Linked DNA regions of Schizosaccharomyces pombe. The protein of the gene in region 3 binds, or shares a complex with, the protein of the main gene of each other region. Each region holds a gene or a part of one and is shown on either strand. Other genes may lie near its edges.

Evidence for each region.
Region 1: mrpl20 (region 3) and mrpl10 share a complex: the UniProt entries of both Schizosaccharomyces pombe proteins name them as parts of the mitochondrial large ribosomal subunit.
Region 2: mrpl20 (region 3) and mrpl7 share a complex: the UniProt entries of both Schizosaccharomyces pombe proteins name them as parts of the mitochondrial large ribosomal subunit.
Region 4: mrpl20 (region 3) and mrpl27 share a complex: the UniProt entries of both Schizosaccharomyces pombe proteins name them as parts of the mitochondrial large ribosomal subunit.

What each region holds. Positions count from the first base shown.
Region 1 is NC_003423.3:1,820,179-1,824,883, reverse strand, and holds mrpl10 (mitochondrial 54S ribosomal protein uL15m), read right to left. Parts: upstream 1,982-4,705; 5' UTR 1,949-1,981; coding exon 1,184-1,948; 3' UTR 927-1,183; downstream 1-926. Other genes in the region: Nop52 family nucleolar protein, read right to left, coding at 1-71, 128-235, 280-322; U6 snRNP-associated protein Lsm3, read left to right, coding at 2,211-2,228, 2,270-2,362, 2,433-2,450, 2,505-2,619, 2,721-2,758; translation elongation factor EF-Tu Tuf1, read left to right, coding at 3,475-3,609, 3,661-4,705. UniProt on the Schizosaccharomyces pombe protein: Component of the mitochondrial ribosome (mitoribosome), a dedicated translation machinery responsible for the synthesis of mitochondrial genome-encoded proteins, including at least some of the essential transmembrane subunits of the mitochondrial respiratory chain.
Region 2 is NC_003423.3:1,735,833-1,741,289, reverse strand, and holds mrpl7 (mitochondrial 54S ribosomal protein uL5m), read right to left. Parts: upstream 2,649-5,457; 5' UTR 2,313-2,648; coding exon 1,449-2,312; 3' UTR 1,193-1,448; downstream 1-1,192. Other genes in the region: MAP kinase kinase kinase Byr2, read left to right, coding at 1-973; ebs1 (EST1 family protein), read right to left, coding at 4,261-5,457. UniProt on the Schizosaccharomyces pombe protein: Component of the mitochondrial ribosome (mitoribosome), a dedicated translation machinery responsible for the synthesis of mitochondrial genome-encoded proteins, including at least some of the essential transmembrane subunits of the mitochondrial respiratory chain.
Region 3 is NC_003421.2:818,439-824,612, reverse strand, and holds mrpl20 (mitochondrial 54S ribosomal protein mL58), read right to left. Parts: upstream 3,319-6,174; 5' UTR 2,970-3,318; coding exon 2,376-2,969; 3' UTR 1,136-2,375; downstream 1-1,135. Other genes in the region: SPOM_SPCC1393.12 (uncharacterized protein), read right to left, coding at 608-934; telomere cap complex subunit Ten1, read left to right, coding at 4,456-4,764; Cu(2+) transporter complex subunit Ctr4, read right to left, coding at 5,285-6,154. UniProt on the Schizosaccharomyces pombe protein: Component of the mitochondrial ribosome (mitoribosome), a dedicated translation machinery responsible for the synthesis of mitochondrial genome-encoded proteins, including at least some of the essential transmembrane subunits of the mitochondrial respiratory chain.
Region 4 is NC_003424.3:1,431,881-1,436,133, forward strand, and holds mrpl27 (mitochondrial ribosomal protein subunit L27), read right to left. Parts: upstream 1,519-4,253; 5' UTR 1,496-1,518; coding exon 1,319-1,495; exon of another isoform or gene 1,274-1,318; coding exon 1,169-1,273; 3' UTR 893-1,168; downstream 1-892. Other genes in the region: SPOM_SPAC3A12.06C (sodium/calcium exchanger), read right to left, coding at 1-775; DNA-directed RNA polymerase II complex subunit Rpb11, read left to right, coding at 2,073-2,122, 2,168-2,257, 2,304-2,535; SPOM_SPAC3A12.08 (uncharacterized protein), read left to right, coding at 3,259-3,903. UniProt on the Schizosaccharomyces pombe protein: Component of the mitochondrial ribosome (mitoribosome), a dedicated translation machinery responsible for the synthesis of mitochondrial genome-encoded proteins, including at least some of the essential transmembrane subunits of the mitochondrial respiratory chain.

The DNA.
Region 1 (4,705 bases), on a different chromosome or scaffold from region 3:
AATTGGAACCAACGCGGCTAAATTATCTGAGAGTTTCTGTTGGTATAAGGGTTTATCAGCCATCCACATGCCTGCATATTAAAAAACAATTAGATGATTTACATTCATAACCCAAAAAAATTCATACAGTAAAATAAGCCCTTCCAAAGCTTGAGAAAGTCTAACCTTTCAAATTTTTTCTTTTGGCTTAAAAACCGCTGCAACGATTCAAGAGCCTTATCACGAGTTTTTCGATCTTACAGTGTTAGTACATTAATCATTTATATGTAAGAAATTTACCATTAGCTGCAAGTTTCTTAATAAACGGCGACGGAGCCGACATTGTTGGTTTATTGACAAAGTGTTGAAGCAGTTCTTAGCATCGTTCCTTCCATACTGCGTTTTAGTGCACTAATTGGAGAGTTGATAAATGTCCCTTTCTAATATATGAAATAAGGAGTTTCCCAGTCAATATGTATTATTTTTTTTAGAATTGACCGTTTATGTAGATTAATTGATCATAAGGTTAATGTACTACTATGGTTCGCTTACACTTCTATTACAAATGCCGGTTTTCTTAGTCATTCTTATATATAAGTCTTTAACCGTTCCATTGATCAACAAATGTTCTTTTTCTTCTTCCTTGCATGCCTTTGAAAAGGAGATCCTTTGAAAGATCTTTTCCTGTTGGATAGACAATCGGAGGATGAAAAAATTTTAAGAAAGCTTTAAACAAAAAAAGGCAAAAGATAATAATTTAACAAACAGTCGGCAGGGGTTCTTGATTATACAAAAAAAGTGCATGACTGCGAATGCTCAAATCTACTAATGAAGCAAATGAATAAATGTGAGAAAGGGTTTATCTGACAGAGAATGAACTGACTACAACAAGGGGATTTGGGGGATAAAGAAGGAAGCTATATTTTCGAATGAGAAAGGTATTCAAAATATTACTAATGGGTATTGAACTGTAAGCGAAAAAGTCAGTAGAGAGCTCAAACACCGAAATTGGAAACGTAATTATACAAATGTACTAAGAAAAGGATGCAGATATTTCCTTACAAAACTCAACATGTAACCCATCCAAGAAAGTAAAGGAGGCTGCACGGAATCATCAATAGACATAACAAAGTTTTAAGGACATATTAGGAAAGCGGGATTTTTGATGAACATATATCAAGTTCTGATGTAATATGGGAACTACTTATTTATCTTTAACAATCGGTTCGTAGGGGAATCGTTGGTCGCCATAATATAGCTCTCGAATATTTTTAACGTTGGCAAGATACCCTGCAAAATGTGGATTTGTGTAGTAGCGTATGTCTTTCTTTGAAACTGGAAGGGGAGGGCGAGGAGGTGTACGAAAACTTGAAGGATGCAAATGGGCACGTAGCGCCAACGGGCTGAAATATACTGTTGTTATACTGCCGCCTGCATTTTTGATTTGTTGTATAGCTTGAACTGTAGCCTTAGAAACTTCTATGGAAATTGCTGTTTTAAGGAGTCCAGGTTCGTCAGCAGTAAGTTCAACTCCATGTTTAATACCTCTACAGCATCTACTATCGAGGAGGTCTTTCATAGTAATTGTCTTGCTAGCATCCAATCTACCACGATCAATCCATTCCTGAACTCTCCCTAACCCCAGACGCAACGGTTTCTTCAAATGTCCCGTACTGTGACCAACTTTAGGAAATAATTTGGTGATAGGAGTTTGACCACCTTCAAAACCAGGTTTAATTCTCCGTCCACGCCTTTGACCAGATCCTTTATGACCACGTCCAGAGGTTTTTCCTAAACCGCTCGCAGGGCCTCTACCCACTCGCTTCTTTGACTGATAATTTGCACTGTTGTTTAAATCATTCAACATACTGATGCCGCGGAAACTAGCACCAAATCTTGGATAACCAGAGGATCTCAAAAAACCATGAAATGAAGAACTGCGACAAACCCGAGATAAAATATTAAACATTTTCCAATTCAAAAAACGGGTTTCGTCGAGTTTAGATGGTAATAAGTCCAAGGCTGCTGTTTACTATTACAAAAGATTCGGACACACACGAATACGTAAAATTCTATAGCGTCTCATAAAAATATCTTTATTACTATATTCAGCATCGCTGCACTGCGCAATTCGAATTTGTTTCCTCCTTTATTTCTTCCTGACATATGCCAGTGCATAATTGCAGCAACAGCGATCTTGCTTGGTAGATATAATAACCCTTTACTTTATAATGGAATCGGCACAGGCAGTAAGATTTATCAACAGTAACTCGGTAACTAATGTTTGTAGGTCGCGGAACCTCTTGATTTGGTGAGGCTTTCTTTGGATGAAATCGTTTATGTAAAATTACGGGGAGATAGAGAATTAAATGGCCGTCTTCATGTATGAAATTTTTTTAACGTTTCTTGAATATTTTTCTTATTCTGAATTGGTTATACTAACTCGATTGTAGGCCTATGATGAACATTTGGTATGAATCATATTCATAACTCGCATTTGGATGGATTACTTACACGTATTTTAGAATATGGTACTAGGAGATGCTGAAGAAATTGTAACTATTTTTGATGATGAAGAGACCGATAAGGACAAGGCCTTAAAAACGATTCGCAAACATTATGAGATGCTCTTTGTTCGTGGTACGTAGATTCTAAATATTACGCTCGAAAAGTTTGACCATGATTAAGCTTTCCTTTTCGAAACTGTTTTTCCTTTTTCGCCAAATGCTAATGAACTTTAGGTGATTCGGTTATTTTGATTGCTCCACCTCGTAATTAAAGGAACGAATAAAATTACTATACAAAGCTATCTACATATTTTTATCTCATTCTTTTGTTTAAAATTTTTCGCTTTAGAGGTGCTTCTTCGTACAATAGTAACGACTTTTGATTTGAGTATTCTATATTACAGAAAAGTTTGATTTTCCTTTATTCCGTTGGATGGATAGTTTTATCTTTCTTTAGTCACGCACCACTTCTTGTTATTCCTTACATCCTTTTACTTAATAAAAGCAAAAGACTCTTCGAAGTTAACCAACATTCACGAGACGCTGAGCTTTGTCATTGAGACTTTTCATTAATGGTTTTATTCTTTGTACTTGACAGGATAGTAAGCGATTTTTGCTTGCATGGTGGTTGCTCTTGCGATCTAGCAAAATCAGATTGACATTCCTTTAGAGATCAGAGACATAATACCATTCATTGTGCAAATAAAAAAAAACTATCAATTGCTTTCGATTTGGCGGTGTTGTTCACTAGTTCATCTAGTATTTTTTTATTATTAACAAGCGTATCATCATATATAGGCGTAGCGGTAAAATAGAACAAAATAAAATAAATTCTACAAATATTGATTGTATCCAAACACCCAGGACCATTTATTTCATGAAATGCTCGTGTCAATAGTATTCTCATAACGATGCGCACCGCTGAGACTTATTTCAAGGACAACACGAGCGCCAGAGACCTCTCCTCTGCCTACACGCTCCCTTCGTTATGAATTCAGCTAAAGCTACCTCTCTCCTCTTTCAAGGCTTTAGAAAAAATTGCTTGCGATTGAACCGCATTTCTTTCGCTTCAGGTTTGATTAACCGGTTCACCGTCCCAGCTCGAACTTATGCTGACGAAAAGGTATTTTTTTTTCATTCTTCATCTTTTTGATTACTTGTTAACTTTTTTAAGGTGTTCGTTAGAAAAAAGCCGCATGTCAATATTGGTACTATTGGTCATGTTGACCACGGTAAAACGACGTTGACGGCTGCTATTACTAAATGCCTTTCTGATCTTGGTCAAGCTAGTTTTATGGATTATAGTCAAATTGACAAGGCCCCCGAGGAAAAGGCACGTGGTATTACCATTTCATCTGCCCATGTTGAATACGAAACTGCTAATCGTCACTATGCCCATGTGGATTGTCCTGGTCACGCCGATTACATTAAGAATATGATTACTGGTGCTGCTACAATGGATGGCGCTATCATTGTTGTTTCTGCTACCGATGGTCAAATGCCTCAAACTCGTGAACATTTGCTTCTGGCTCGTCAAGTCGGTGTAAAGCAAATTGTTGTATACATCAATAAAGTCGATATGGTCGAGCCTGATATGATCGAGCTTGTCGAAATGGAAATGCGTGAGCTACTCTCCGAATACGGATTTGATGGTGACAATACTCCAATTGTTAGCGGCAGTGCTTTATGTGCCTTAGAGGGTCGTGAGCCTGAGATTGGTCTCAATAGTATTACTAAATTGATGGAAGCTGTTGATAGTTATATTACTCTTCCTGAAAGAAAAACGGATGTCCCTTTCTTGATGGCCATCGAGGACGTTTTTTCAATTTCAGGTCGCGGAACTGTAGTCACTGGCCGTGTCGAGCGCGGTACTTTAAAGAAGGGTGCTGAAATCGAAATCGTCGGTTATGGTAGCCATTTAAAGACTACCGTTACTGGAATTGAAATGTTCAAAAAGCAGCTTGATGCCGCCGTTGCCGGTGACAATTGTGGCCTTTTACTTCGTTCTATCAAGCGAGAGCAATTAAAACGTGGAATGATTGTCGCTCAACCAGGAACCGTTGCTCCTCATCAGAAATTCAAGGCATCATTCTATATTTTGACAAAAGAGGAAGGAGGTCGTCGTACCGGTTTCGTTGACAAGTATCGTCCCCAACTGTACAGTCGTACTTCCGACGTTACTGTCGAACTTACCCACCCTGATCCTAACGACTCAGACA
Region 2 (5,457 bases), on a different chromosome or scaffold from region 3:
GTCGAAGTATAATGTTTTTTCAGAAAGCGCGCATGGCAACCATCAAGTACTTTCCTTTTCACCTGGTTCATCCCCATCATTTATTGAGCAACCATCCCCAATTTCTCCAACTTCCACTACAAGTGAGGACACAAATACACTTGAAGAGGACACTGATGATCAGTCTATCAAATGGATACGTGGTGCGTTAATAGGTTCAGGATCGTTTGGACAAGTTTATCTCGGTATGAATGCATCTAGTGGTGAGTTGATGGCTGTTAAGCAAGTGATCTTAGATTCTGTTTCTGAATCAAAAGACCGCCATGCCAAACTTTTAGATGCATTAGCGGGTGAAATTGCTCTTCTACAGGAGTTGTCTCATGAGCATATTGTCCAATATCTCGGTTCTAACTTAAATTCGGACCACTTGAACATTTTTTTGGAATATGTTCCTGGGGGGTCGGTTGCCGGATTGCTTACAATGTATGGAAGCTTTGAGGAAACGCTAGTCAAGAACTTTATTAAGCAAACCCTTAAAGGCTTAGAATACCTTCATTCACGCGGCATTGTACACCGTGATATAAAAGGTGCGAACATCTTGGTTGATAATAAAGGGAAGATTAAAATTTCGGACTTTGGGATATCGAAGAAACTTGAACTAAATAGTACCTCTACGAAGACGGGTGGTGCTCGCCCTTCTTTTCAAGGCTCTTCTTTTTGGATGGCTCCCGAAGTGGTGAAGCAAACTATGCATACGGAGAAAACAGATATTTGGTCTTTGGGATGTTTGGTAATCGAGATGCTCACTAGTAAGCACCCTTATCCGAATTGTGATCAAATGCAGGCCATTTTCAGAATTGGGGAGAACATTCTGCCGGAATTCCCTTCTAACATTTCTTCATCGGCCATAGATTTCCTTGAGAAAACGTTTGCCATAGATTGTAATCTTAGACCTACAGCATCAGAGTTGTTGAGCCACCCGTTCGTTTCATAAGCCGGCTAAGTTATGATGAAAACAGAAACATTATTTTACGATCTATCTTTTTTATGTTTTTTTGCATCATTATCATTGCATTTATGCCATTTAGAACTAATGAATTTATTTAACCTATAAACCGTATGATTTAAGTTGCTATATTTTTCTACAATATTCATGTTTTTAATGATTTTGTGAATGTCCTTGATAAATACCATTATGAGTTTAGTTACTAAAAAAATACTATTTTACATGTTCAGTTTGTTTAAAAAATATCCATTGATTATTCCTTTTCAAGAAAAAACTTTTTATTTTTATTTACTTTGTGAAAACGATAACATAAATATATAATAACACATATCTACGGGAATTCTATCACTTAAACAAGTAAAACTCAAAAACGTATGTATGCATTAGTCGTAGAGAAGGGGATTTTTTGTTCACTCCTTGAGGAGAAAAGATTAGGTATAGTAGATATAAAATAAATTGTCTACTATCCAACATAGCCTTCCTTATTTCCATCTGTAAATGGAATAAGACTGCTGACGAAAAAACGAGCCAAACGGGTATCTTTGGAATTGGTTGTTATATTTACGTTAAATCCAGGTAAAGAGTGCGGATACATCTCATAAACAGCTTCAATTTGGGGAAATAAAGGCATGACTTCACTTGGTAAACCAAAAGATATGTTTCCTGTTTGATCTCCGCTTGTAGGACTCAGGCCCTTGAAATCATGAAGCTGAGGAAGAACCAACTCAGATAAGATTGAAAGAAATGTATACATAGATTCTCCAGTTAGAGTAACCTTTACACCTACTGGCACACCTGAACGAAGTTTCCAGGGAGAAACGTCCTTACGTGCATAGACTATTTCGGGCTGCAAACCCGTTATAGAACGAAATGCCATCATTGTACTCAAGAGCTGCGTTTTGTCAACGAGTGCTTCTTTATGCATAGTGCTGACGACAACTTTGCTAATAGAAGGAAGGTTTTTAGGATTAACGGACTCCTTTACTGGTAACAGAGGCTTATTACCACGCATTTTCTGAGGAGGCCGGTTTTTATAATAAGGGTTATCACCAATCCACCTTGGAAGTCTGTCTTTCTGTGTATGTTCATCTGTGCTTAACGCTGTATCTATGTCATGTCGATATGAAGCAGCTAATACATCCGGTAAAATGGTATCATGCAAGTGTTCTTGTAAGCGATTTAACATGGTGGGTCCTGGACGAAAATACTCAGAATTTGGATCCCATCCTGGTAGGGGCCTATTCTTGCCCAGTTTTTGCTTTACAGTGATGGTTCTTCGCTGCAGAAAGTTAACTGATATTCTGATATTTTTTCTTATCCCAAGCATTGTTAAAAATTAAAAAATGAATTAAAACAAGTATAATGACAAAGAGAAACCAAAAGCGACAAAAATACAACAGGTTACTTTCTAGGGAATTTTCGTGAAAATCCTTTTGCTTTATAAGCAGATGAGCACTTGTGTTATAATTTACCAATAAATTATAGTAAATAACACAAATCCGGGAAAAAATATTTATAATCACGAAACAAGGAAATTGTAAAGACCAATGTCCACAAATGATACCTGTTTCTCAAATCTTCAAAGGAAGGTTTTAACAAATGGTTATGGATAAAACAGGTAAGTCTCGCAACCAAAACAATTTTGCAATGGATCTTAGGTACTAGGGCTGGAAGATTGCTCGCGTTTGTCTAGTGTATTGTCATGGTTAGTGTACCGTATTACCTAGTGCCAAGTAAGGAAATCCGAGGCATCGTTATAATCATATGCCACACGATTTTGAGTGCCAAGTGTAATAGAAAGTATTGTACTTGTAACTTACAAACTTATTTAAACAAGTTAGCTTTAAAGCTTTAAGCTGATGTCTTTCTGTTTTTTTTTATACGTCGAAAAACAAATGTTTTTCCTTCAGCTGGTACATAAAAAAGCAGCTAATTGCTCTTCTTTTACAAGATGATTTTATTTTTGTATTTCTCAAAATCGTGCCAAATGGCATGCCACACATATTCAAATTATTGGAAAGTATTATTACTAACTGGCTCTACAAACTATTTGGATAGGATAGTGATGCATGTCATAAGATCACTTTCATGCAATAACAATACTAATCCAATTCGTTCTTTTGTATTCACTTTGTTCTTGTTCGTTTTTTACCTTCTTTCCTTTCAATATAGATGTGTGATGATGAATGAGAGATGCAAGAAGCTTAGCTCAAACACAATCCTGAAAGAGTAAAGTACTCAACATAAAATAATGCATTTATACATTTCGTACCTTTATCAATCTATTATGCAACAATAAAAGCATTTTATCCAAAAGAAAACAAGTTGTCTTAATACTTGAAAAGATCAATAGATTTACTTTTAGTTTGGTTTTCTAAAAAGAGAATCACACTTGATAAGAAATTGATTGCCTCGAATAACTCAAAACTAAATTATCTTAAACAACAGATACCGCCAGTGTATACTCAAAAATCATAGATATATGTTTCGAATTCGTAACACTTTAATGAAAAACCAAGCATTTCATAGGAAAGACAAATTTACACTTTAGTTTTGTGTCCAGGCATTACGATAACGTCTGGTAAAGACATAAAAAGAGGTATAAGATCTGGCACTTGAGAATCGCCAGTCATTACAATTTGGATACAGAACAAGCTCTAGAAACTCAAGATAGTGCAGTAAATGTTTATAAAGAGCATTTCTGCTTAGAATCACAAAACAAATTGCACTGAGTAACCAAATATTGAATATTCACTGTCCAAGCTCATATGCTTATTATCAATCAATTGGCAAGCTGAGGATATCCAACAAGTCAGATAACTTCATAATTCGAGGCTAAAGATTCTATTTAAAGAATTCAACGCAGTCCTATGTAAACAATTAACCCATTCTATGATATATATTGTAACATTGGGAAGCGCCTTAATTGCTTGTGTTTAGGTCAAACCAGAACAGCGCTATGATAACTAAACAACGTTTTATTTTCCCATCGACCATATTTTAATTTAAGTGTCGTGAATACCCGTACACTTTAGGCCATTTGATGACTATTCATACTTATATAAAAGTCAAAGCCTTTCTTTAGGCAAGTGAAGAACCATTTCTAATTCGTAAGCACAGTGTATAAACAAAGAAATCCGTGATACATTATTTTGGGTTATTTCACTTCGTGAGAAATAAAGCAAGAAATTTGTTCGTTGTTGGCAGCAAAGTTAATTGACTGCTTCTAACAAACTTCAGAATTTTTAATGAAACATTACAATCAACAATACAGTTTAATTATTGCTGATGTTAACCATTTTCTTTAATAGCTCAGACAAAACCAAATGTTCCGGAGGTTCCGTAGCAGGCGTAGAAAATGTGTTTAAAGCAGGGCTTCTCAATGGGCGGAATAAAACACGTTCACCTTGTAAATGTCCGTTTTGCGGAGATCCGTTCAAGTGTGTCTCACAAGAACTGAGATTCCCAGACACTAAAGGATAAGAACTAGTACTTTCACTAAATGGTGTGCTAGTCCTACTAAAACCAGAATCGACAGCTCTAGGACTCTCATTTGAAAACGTGCGTTGTTGTAATGAATGAACAGAGCACCCGGTAGTTTGAGCAGGTATAGGTTGAACAGGTCCAACGAGGCTATCCACCATCCTCCCAAATTGCAGACTTGCAATACTAGATGACTGATTAGCTATGGATGGTGTTCCAGATAAAAAAGGAGATGTAGGAGAAGATTGAGCAGATGGAAAAGAAGATGAGGACATTAGTGAATAATTCGATAATCCCATTCCAGTAAAAGCCTGTCCGCTAAATGGAGATCTGTGGGGTGTTGGAGGCGAAGAAAAAGATGTGCTATTTGGTGTACTTTTCGCTCGCATATTCAGTAACACATACAAAGAATCTAACGCAATTGTTATCAGTGCGTCAGAATCATCAACTTGGGGACCTTTACCTTCCTCATTAAAAGGATAATGATTTGAAAAGTAAAGCCACTGTAAAGTATCACGAGGAACTCCACAAACCTTAACAAGAGGGAAAAAGAATAGCAGGCCGATACTTTTAGAAGAACAGCGTACAAGAACAGAGTCGTCGGGAGCTGTTTGATTTGTGTTCTCCAAAAAGAAGCTTAAACGATTGAATATCTGTGAAAGTCCAGTTCGAATATCTTTAGTAAGCCAGACGTCCCCATTTTGCAAACACGAAGAAGTCAAAACACACAAAGGTAGAAGCATTGGCATAAGTACAGCATTTGAAGACAGAGATCCATATTGACGACGTTCGACTAGATCATCAAAATTACCGTCCTTCTTACTCGACACACCAGAGGTAAGAGCTTGTAAAGGAAGCTGGCTATTCACTGAATCAGAAAGGACTTCAAAAAACATAGTTGTAGTTTGTGTAGCAAGCTTTAAATTCGGATACGACTCACCGTGTTCTCCAGAATCACTAAAGCCAATAAATGGAGCTAAAACCCTTGC
Region 3 (6,174 bases):
TTGACTCTGTCTACTAGAGCAGATTAAAGCAAAACACTCCTTTCAATCTTTTATTTTTTTAATAATGGAAACTAGGAAAAACCTATAATATCCAAACTATGCATGTATTCATATGCATTATCACTACTCTTAGTCCACATCGCTTACTTTAAATATCATTTTACAGTCTATAATGGAAAATCATGCATGTAAAAATTTCAATCATTCATTTATGCGTTCATGAAAAACATTATTTCAATTAAAAATTCGCTTTTATCTGTACAAAAAAAAGCAAACTTCTATGAGGGTGTTTTTGACAACCCATGGAATCGTCGTTTGTTTGTCATCGCTAATCATTTGGGTTCAGTTGGTTTATGAGAGAAGAAACTAATAATAACATAAAAAAGAATAACGTTAACAACGTTTAATCTCTCCGACTTTGCCGAGATGTGATCCGGAATGTTTGGCAATACGTTTGGAACAATTAACAAGAACACTTAATGGATAGCAGGTATAGAACGAGCCAATGCTAGGCACTTTACGTTTTCAAATACACAACAAACCCTGTGTGTATTTTTTCAAAGTATTGCCACATAACCCTAAATGGCGAGAATTGGGGATTTCCAATTTAAAACCATTTTGAGGTACCCTTTTTAAGGGCTTCTGCTTGTTCAGTACCCTTGGCTTGCGCCTCTGACAACACATTTTTTACGTTTTCACGAGGTTTGTCGAGTTCATCGACAACCCTCTCCTTCCCACTTTGGAGATAAGATTTTGCCTTTTCAGTGGTTTCGCCAACAGCTTTGTCAAATCGTTGACCCTCATTTTCCACGGCTCTGACGATTTCTGCATTCTTCTGTTCCAATCTGGAAGATGCCTGACGATTATGGCGAGTCATATAATAACCAACACCAACAGCAGCGGCCAAGGCTCCAAGAGTAACACGCCTATTCATGATGCTCGATTAGGATTTCGTGAATTAACCGAGTAAAAAAAAATTAATAAATCGAAAGGTTATATAAAAGCGGTTTTCTCCGTACAACACAAAGGATTGATATAATATTCAATCGAGCGCACGAAAAAAAATTAGATTTTTCCTGAACACTAGTAAATGTTCAATTGTAAAGTAAAACAATATTTCAAAGTAGTAAGTCGCTTTTGTTCAACTCACAACTTTATCGTTAATAAGAGTGCTCACTTCTACTTCCCACTGCTCTATATATAACACTTTTAGTAGCACAATACGGCAACGTAAATGAGATCATTCATATACGTATTAACCCACCCACCCATCATATAATTCTTGTGTCTGACTGATGTCACCCCAAAACTTCTCGAGGTACTAAGTAACAAGGAGAGAAGAGGAGAGAGGAGTGTAGGATTTGAGAATCGCAGTATGCAGTATTACAACAAAGCTGTGTCCACCATACAAATTAAGCTTGTTAGAGTCTGTAAAAACAATGTCTTAAAGCAAAATTCCTCAACTAGGTCGCATGTTTCTTTAGACGATCGTTGGAAAATTGGGCCAACAAAGAAGAGCACGTATAGTCACACAAGCTTCAAAAAAGTAGAAAACGGCGAAACAAAGCTTTAATATAAGTAAATAGTAGCTAGAGATGGATGTATTAATGAAATCCGTAGAATGCAAATTGTCCTAAGGAGATGGATGGATGATGGCTGGTGAGGAAACTTGCAAAAGTAAGTATCTCGTGAGTGTTTATAAACGGTTGATGTCGATTGGAAATCTTAAATAGCAACTGCTTAAAAGCCGAAAAAATATCTTTATTTTCACCACTTGAGGTTTGAACGAAAGGGCTCTCTGTACAAGAGGAAATAAAGATGTTTTTTTACTGCTCGCTGACCCAATTAATTATGTACACCATTGTATATTCTCAGTAATAGTTAAAAGATAAAACCAAAAAAAAAAAAAAACTGGCTTGAGTGTTACAAAAGCAACATACTCTATGATTGAGGATTTCCGAGCCTACTAAGCTGAAATGAAAAATTTCCTCATTTGTTCCAAAAAGGAAATATGTACATGAGAAGGGAGAGGTAAAAATGTAAAACAAGTTCGTGCCTGTATAATAACATTTTAAAGGTTGCGACAAAAATTCGCGATATGCAGACCAATGTGCGTAAATGTTGATAGAAATGTAAAGGATAATTCGTAAAATGCCAGAGAGCCTTTGTAAATTAAGAAATAAAGAAGAATGAAGATGTCTGTTTTTTTTGAAAAGCTTCAAAACTAATATTATTTTCCAAGGAACTTTCAAATCACTCGAGTATTTTGTAACGTGATTGAAACATTAAATAATGCAGTCAAAAACGCTTCCGCATGTGCATCAGAGCTTTATTGAAAACCAGAGTTTTAGAATCCCAAAAACTATTAAATTATTTTAAACCTGTGCTACTCGTTCCAATGTACGGAATGCTTGACGAGATGCACGTTGTCGGCGAATTTCACGCTTCTTTGATCCCCAGGCAAGTTTTTCAGCCTCAAAATTTTCTTCAACTTTTTGAATCCTTTCTTTGGGAGCTTCACAAACTCGTGAAATTAGTAACCGAGTTGTGTTAAACTTTTTAGACAGTGTTCCAGTTGTCCAAGCATTCGGATCTTTCGTCCTCAAGTCTTGGATGGATTTGATATCTTCACTACTCAGTTGATGAGTAGAAAACCTCAACTTTCCTTTGCTTTTCGATTTTCGGCTAACTGCCGGCGGGAGAAACATTGACTCTTTGGAAAGTGAGGTATCACGCTGATGAATTGGAGGTGCATCATAGCGAAAAACAGGAGGAGTAATCCTAACATCTGGAGAAGACGCTGGTGGATTGTAATAAGCAGATGTAGTTTCAGTTACCTCTGCTATTTTGGAACCCATAGGAATTTTAGGTCGCTTAGGAATACGTTGTTTAGGGTATAGCCGGTTCAAATTCCGAGTCTGAATGAAGCCTACAGGCTTCAAAAATGAAGGTTTGATTGTAAACAACATGTTTTTACTCTTTCAACTATTTTAATTTTGGTGTCGCTTTAGAAATGATGCTTTAAATTTTTTTGAGAAAAGGTTATAACACAAAAAACTGTAAAGGGCCTTTTGGATAAACCCACACTTCAAATAATATTAGTTATAACGAAGATTCTCAAAGCCTAAAAGCTATAGCAACGACGTGACAAAAGAGCTCAATGCAAAAAAAAAATAAACAGCAAAAAAACACGCAAAAAATCACTTGGAAGAGTTCTAACTTTTGAATTTACAAGAATCGTATTAAGGCTTGCAATTTTCCGAGTAAAAACACGAAATTACTCTCCAAATGCGGGTTTCCTGGAGTTTAGCAGTCTCTATATGCACAGTATCCACACTCTTAGTTTCAATACGTATAATGCAGTGTGTTTATGGCACCTTAAATGTATATTATATAATTCGTTATATTAAAACTGGTTTTTGGCACTTTGACGGTTTATTAAGAGAAATCGGAAGATTCAAGCTAAAAAATATTGTTAACGGCATTTTGATTGTAGGATAAATTCAATACAATTTTGTTTTGCTGTTTTTTTTTTAAACCATTTCTAATCTGTTCATGGTTCAATTTAAATACCGATTATATTGAATACTGGAAGCATGATATTTTAAATATTAAATTAAATTTATTTTATTTTTTTCAATTTTCCATAGATTTTTAGGAAATGTACACACCTTTTCAAACTGACCCAAATTTTTTGCAATGTAAATTATAATATCAAATGGTTAAGTAAGGGGTAACCTTTTGTTTACAGTCAGCTTCAATTTATCAAGTGAATATTAGCCGCATTGGCCCTATAACTAAAATCGGAATTTATTACAAGAACTATTGATTTCTTATAAGGCCTTAAACAACTACATCAGAACATGTTTCCAATTCTCTGCTTGATTTTAATCAATATTATAATGGTATAATAAATAATTATCGTTATCGTTAATAGCTACTTATATTATACAAGTTTACAAGATATTTCAAGAAGCTTTGGTGGTTTAGTGGTATAATGAATCGTTGCCATCGATTCGACCCGGGTTCGATTCCCGGCCAAAGCATTTATTTTTCTCTTTTTATATTCCATCTGACTTAATTTATAAAAACTAATCAAAAGAACCATGCTTGCGTTTTTTGTGGAGTTGCTCAAGTAAACCAATTCATAAATAATAATAATGGAAATGTTGGTCTATTTATCAATCTAATATGCCTCACTGATAGTACTATACGATTATTAGATTTTGCTTTTACTATTGCAAACGAGAGTGTAGTCTTTCTGCACATTTTAAGGATTAATGCAAATTTTTCCTTTTGAAAAAGTCAAACTACGTTTTCTTAATTAAAGCTGCGATCTTAAGTCGCTCATTTACGAAATTCATATTTCAATCGATTACCCAGTTTCCAAACACAAACTATACCACCTTCCCTCATCTTTCCTTGTTCTCCTTTTTACAATATATTTAGCAGCTGATGGATAGTGCTAAACTTATCTTCATTAATCAAATTAACGATTGTAAGGACGGCCAAAAACTTCGATTTTTAGGATGCGTGCAATCATATAAGAATGGCATTCTACGGTTGATTGATGGATCAAGCAGCGTGACTTGTGATGTTACAGTAGTTTTACCTGATGTATCTATTCAAAAGCATGAGTGGCTCAACATTGTTGGGAGAAAGCGGCAGGATGGTATTGTGGATGTCTTGTTAATACGATCTGCTGTTGGAATTAATCTTCCGAGATATCGACAAATGGTTTCTGAACGTCAAAAATGTGATTGATGAATATCTTATGTAGTTCTGTTGCACCATGTCATTACAAACTCATTTAAAAATATATAGAAAGTGATCACCTTAAGATACCATAAAGGTACTGAATCGTGTTAATGTCAGTCTTTATAATAATAAATATTTATTAACCTCCAGGTTCAAAGTCGAAAACAAACAATCATGGTTAAAAAAAAAAAGGAACGAATTACATCTGTTCAAATTGCTATATACTCTAATTTGAATGTTTAACTAACAAAGATAAGCGTTACCTTGTGGCATCTATTTATTTTTGTTGAAACTTTTATTACTTTGTAAAAACTTAAGACAAATTACCAGAATTTGTTTTGTCTTTCCAACATGGACATGTAATATGTGGCTTCAACATTCATCAAAGAATCCTCTTCCAAACTATCAGTGACTGTGCGAAAGAAATTAAAGCGAAGACGATTATGATTAATCAGACGCTTCAGCACTGAAAATGAGTGAGGTGCATGAAATTGGGAATACTAAACCAAATTTAGAGATAATCAAGCTATTCGGTTGTAGGTGTTGTGTCTGAATATTGACTGGAATCATGTTCGTGTTTTTCGTCGGCGACTTGAACGATCGTTTTCGTTTGAACAGATGAAGAGGCCTTAGTAGAGATGGTATCCGCACCAAACAGGAAATAGCCAAAGAAGGTGCCACAAAAGAGAAATAAAATTACATAGCCATTATAATACATTGCGAGTAACATTGCGATATACGCGACAATATACTGGACTAGATAAAAGCAGGACCGAAGAAAATGAAGAAAGATTCGAAGGGCCATGCTTGGACCAGAATGAACAGGGGCACCCGAATGACAGCAGGAATTGCTAGCGGGAGAAAATCTACGGACACACCAACGATCGAACTCTCTTTGTCCGCGACGGACCAATTCCAATGCCATCATCATGAAGATAATTCCGAAAATACTACCGACAAACATATGCTTACTGGTGATATGCCAATGTTTGGTAATAAAGCAAGCATCGATAGTATACCAGTTCCAATACATGGATAATTTACAAGAAGAAGCCTTTGCGGTTGTAGTGGTATTAGTCATATTCATGCCAGACATGGATGTTGTGCTGTTGGACATGTTCATTCCAGACATGGATGTTGTACTATTGGTCATGTTCATTCCAGACATGGGTGTCGTACTGTTGGTCATGTTCATTCCAGACATGGATGTATCATTCGACATGTTCATAGCAGCCATAGCGGCTCTAGCAGTCAAAATTTGCAAAGGTGGGAGCAAATTCTCCAATTGAGACAAGCTAGAGTCATCTACAGGGCCTTGGGAATTTTGAGCCATAGATGTTCCTAACTTAATGAGGGAATTACCCAGACTTTGCTTTGCAGCGGAGAAGAAAGACATGACTTCTAGGGAAAAATAAA
Region 4 (4,253 bases), on a different chromosome or scaffold from region 3:
AGAAAAAGACGAAAAGAACGTAGAGTAGATAATAAAGTATCATTACGAGACTCTGCCAAATACTCAACGAACCATCATGCAAAACAAACATTATAACAAGTAAAATAGTACCGGTAAGGAAAGCAACATCCCGAAGGAAGTGACGCCGAGGTATTTTAAATGGCTTTATTAAACATACGCTGCCAGCAACTATGGCTACGATGAAGAATGCAGAGCCCAAAAGTTCCCCAATAGCCATTCCCCCACTGTTGACACGTACAGCAGCGAACGTACTAAGAATATCAGGAGATCCATTGCCTAAAGCAAGAAAAGTAACGCCAACCACAGAATCGGGCAATTGAAGTAGCCACGAAATAGTAACCAAATTGGTACTAAAAAAATCACTAGCAGAAATTCCGATAGTTATGAAAAGGAAAATCAGCCATCCCACAATTATTGATAACACTGGGAATCGGAGACTGTTAATGGTACAAAAATAAAATTCAACGTAATCAAAGAACCCACTAGCCTCTCCCTTACAGTAAGCCTTTGCAAACCGACATTGATTAGCAGGGGTAATGTTTTTGATATCATTGCATGTAAGTAAAATTTGGTCGTTGCTATCATTTAAGGTATTTCCGCGCTCAAAAAGATGGACGGTTGAGTCCGAAGTCGAGGATACTGAAGCAAACGCTTTGCTAATCCGATGAGTCCAGAATAAAATGTAGGCAATGCCAAGGATACACCAAAGTAATATTAGTCTGTATTTCTTCAAGAAACATGAAGTTTTCGACATTTTTATACCTGATATCCAAGATATAGAAAATCCATGCTTAAACCGCATTGCTAGGTATTAGCAGCCCTTTTTTTTCTAAGATAGATGGGATGAAAAAGACTAATCCTATAATAAATATATAAATGCGCAGTACTCAAGATTGCCCCCAATTTTGGCAGAAAAAGTAAGAATGTAACTAGTATATTTAATAGAAGCAAACGTCACAACAGAATATCGATAAATATACGTGTCCGTAAACAATAAATAACAACAGTCAACGCAACATAAGGTATCGTAACGTAGAAATTTCTCCTTTCAAAGTGTATGCCCAATCATTAACAGATAGAATAAAGCAACAGTTGAAAAGGGTACCAAAATTTTTCAAAACAATAAAGAATGAGGCTGATAAACATACTAGCTATGAGCAAGATCAAAATACACAGCTCCATCCAACCCATTTGCACCTTCAGGATAAGTTCCTTTAGTGGCTTGAATTCGACGAGAAACAAAAGGCAAAAGCTTTGAAAGTTAATATAAAACAATATTCATTAATTTACAACATACCTCACAATCACCAGAAGGAGGCACAAACGTGCGAACACGCGACCACTGGACAAGAAAACCTCCATGCCTGGTTTTTTGACCCATTTTCCCAGTTCTTGTACCCTTGTAATACTGATGACCCAACTTTGTGGTCATTGGCAAGCGTCTTGCTCCAAAACATAATAATGATTGATGCATTTTGAATAACTCTCGATTTGGGTAAATGGAGGGTTTAAGTTGGCGCGTTTTCCGTCATAAAAGAAAAGGTAACGGTATAAGGTAACAGTCAAAGCGAAACATAGAATGTAAACAATAAAAATATTTGTTTAAAACGAACAAACGAATTACATTATGAAACTAAAAAATGAAATAAGTACGAAAAACTATTTTTTTTTCAACATTTAAATGAGCTTTCTTGTTGTTTATCTTTCTGCACAGTTCAATGAAAACAAGTACGGTTAATCTACAATTAAACGCCTCAAAATATGCCTTTAAAAATTTTAGTTATTAAAATCAGTTATTAAAAAATACTGTTACATCTCCCATTTCATTACTCGTTTGAGCCGATTTCCAACAGATAAATATATATTAAGTGTCCGTTCACGTTCGCGTTATTTATAACGAAATACGATGAGTTGTGGAATAAAGTGTTAAAGCTTTTGTTAAATGGCATTACGATTTATAGTGATGCTTAATGTACAGAACGTGGACAAAACCCTCGTAAGCATCAACATCTTACTTCTTCTTCAGCTAGTCGGCTGAAAACGTTGGCATAATGAATCAGCCAGAACGGTATGAGCTCATTGAGCTTATGGGACTCCCCAAGTAAGGAATAAACAATTTTACAAGGAATTGCATTAACCAGTGTAGAGTCACATATGAGCTCGATAGCAAATCACCTAATGCCGCAGTAGTTACTCTTGAAAAAGAGGATCATACATTGGCTAATATGCTTGCAAAGTAAGACTTCTAAATTTTTTTTTCTTTTCTAACTGCTTTTTCGAAGTCAACTCCTATCTGACGAAAGGGTTCTTTTTGCTGGTTACAAAGTTCCTCATCCATTAAATCACAATTTCATACTTCGTGTACAAACCGTAGAAGATTGTTCTCCAAAGCAGGTTATTGTTGATGCTGCTAAGTCCCTTATTACTCATCTGGAAGAAATCAAAGTTAATTTTATGCGTGAATGGGAGTTGAAAATGATATCTGTTGAAGGCGTTGAAATGGAGTTTTCCTAAAATCCACGGCTGCTTTTTCTCTAATATTTATTAGAGTTTTGTTTCAAAAAATACAGAATACCCTCTGTATGCATCTTTATTACAAAAATTTTGACTTTCGTTTTCGCAACTTCTGTAATTTGGACCGAAGTCGTATTAAAAGGGAAAATAAAAGTTTCTTTCTTTTTTGAAAACAGATGCTTTAAAAAAGGTGAAAGTTCTCCGATCTTTTATTGTATATGCTTCTTCATAAACCAACTAGAAAACTGCAGCAATGGCGATGAAAGTTTTTCTAGGTACCTGGATTATTCTCTGATATTGCTTTTTTTTTCAAAGTTGAATTTTGCTGAATGTAATCGAAGTGATTAATTTCCTACAGTAGGGCAGAGCATCGATTCTTACATTCAATCTTAAAAGAAATAAATTAATTAATGTTGTACTATTACAATTTATGTCATTGAATTATTCACAATCATCATTTTCTCTCCAAATGCTTTGCTTCAATTGCATTACGAAATTTGTTTATTCCTGTATTAGTTATTATTATAGAATACTTTTTGGATATGTAAGTAATTATATTTTCTTAAAATATACGATAAATATTCTTGCATAAATTAATGATACCCTATGCTTTGCACATATGCTCCATCTGCGTATCAGTTTTATAACGTCCGAATATCGCTAATAGTAAACGCTCCTATTACATTGTGACGAAAAGTTTGAAACTTTGTTCAATTTTTGATTATGAGCTCTAAATTATTTCAAAATAAGCTGTTATTAGCAGGGATTGGGGGATTTATGGTAGGCGGTCTAGCTTCTTGGGTTGTTTCCAGTGATGCCTATACAGCATATCATCGACTACCAGCAAGTGCGAAACATATTTCTGAAATTTCGAAATCGCCTGAAGCTGTTCAAATGATTGATAACATTTATCGCGAACGTCAACGCAGCATGAAAATGGAGGAGCATCCGTCCTTGCTTCAATCTAAGTATCCTTCCAATTTTCTTTCCTTTAAAGATGGATTGATACCTGTATTTAAAACATTTTATGACCCCGAACATGAAGAATGGATCAGCATTGGACTCATGGGTAAGGCTTTGACAGGATATCAGAAACTGGCTCATGGGGGCGCCATTGCAACTTTATTGATCGAGTCTCTTGAGACTGTTCGGAATCTTAGATCATCGCAAGCAAATTCACAATCAACACAGCCTCGGGACCCTATTCCTACTGAAAACTTCGATGTGCGTACTCCCAGTTATAGCATAAACTACAAAAAGCCTGTGCCTGCTGGAGACTGGGTAATCGTTCGAGTTAAAGACGATGTTGCACGATTATACAATTCTAAAAGTCAGCTGTTAGCTGAAGCTTTGGATTTACAATCGTAGTCATTGTTAAATGCCATTTATGATATTAAAACTGCAAACCTTAACCTTCTAATGATCATACGAAAACAATGATATTTTGTTACTTGGATTTGTTGTGATTACAATTCCAAAAATGCTTTTACTTAACGTGACTGCATTAACAGATTAAACCAGAGACAAAGGTCTCTTTTATGAAATAGATACAATCTCTTTGAGATCTATGTCTCAAGTGCTATATCCAATTAGTTAGTTATCTACTGTGTACTAAATAGTAAATTTTCTATAACAGTTAGTAATTGAACGTCAAGTCCTAGCCAAGAGAAGCATGTTTTGAGTCGTTCCATATAGCATAAAACTTTTATTTGCTTGGA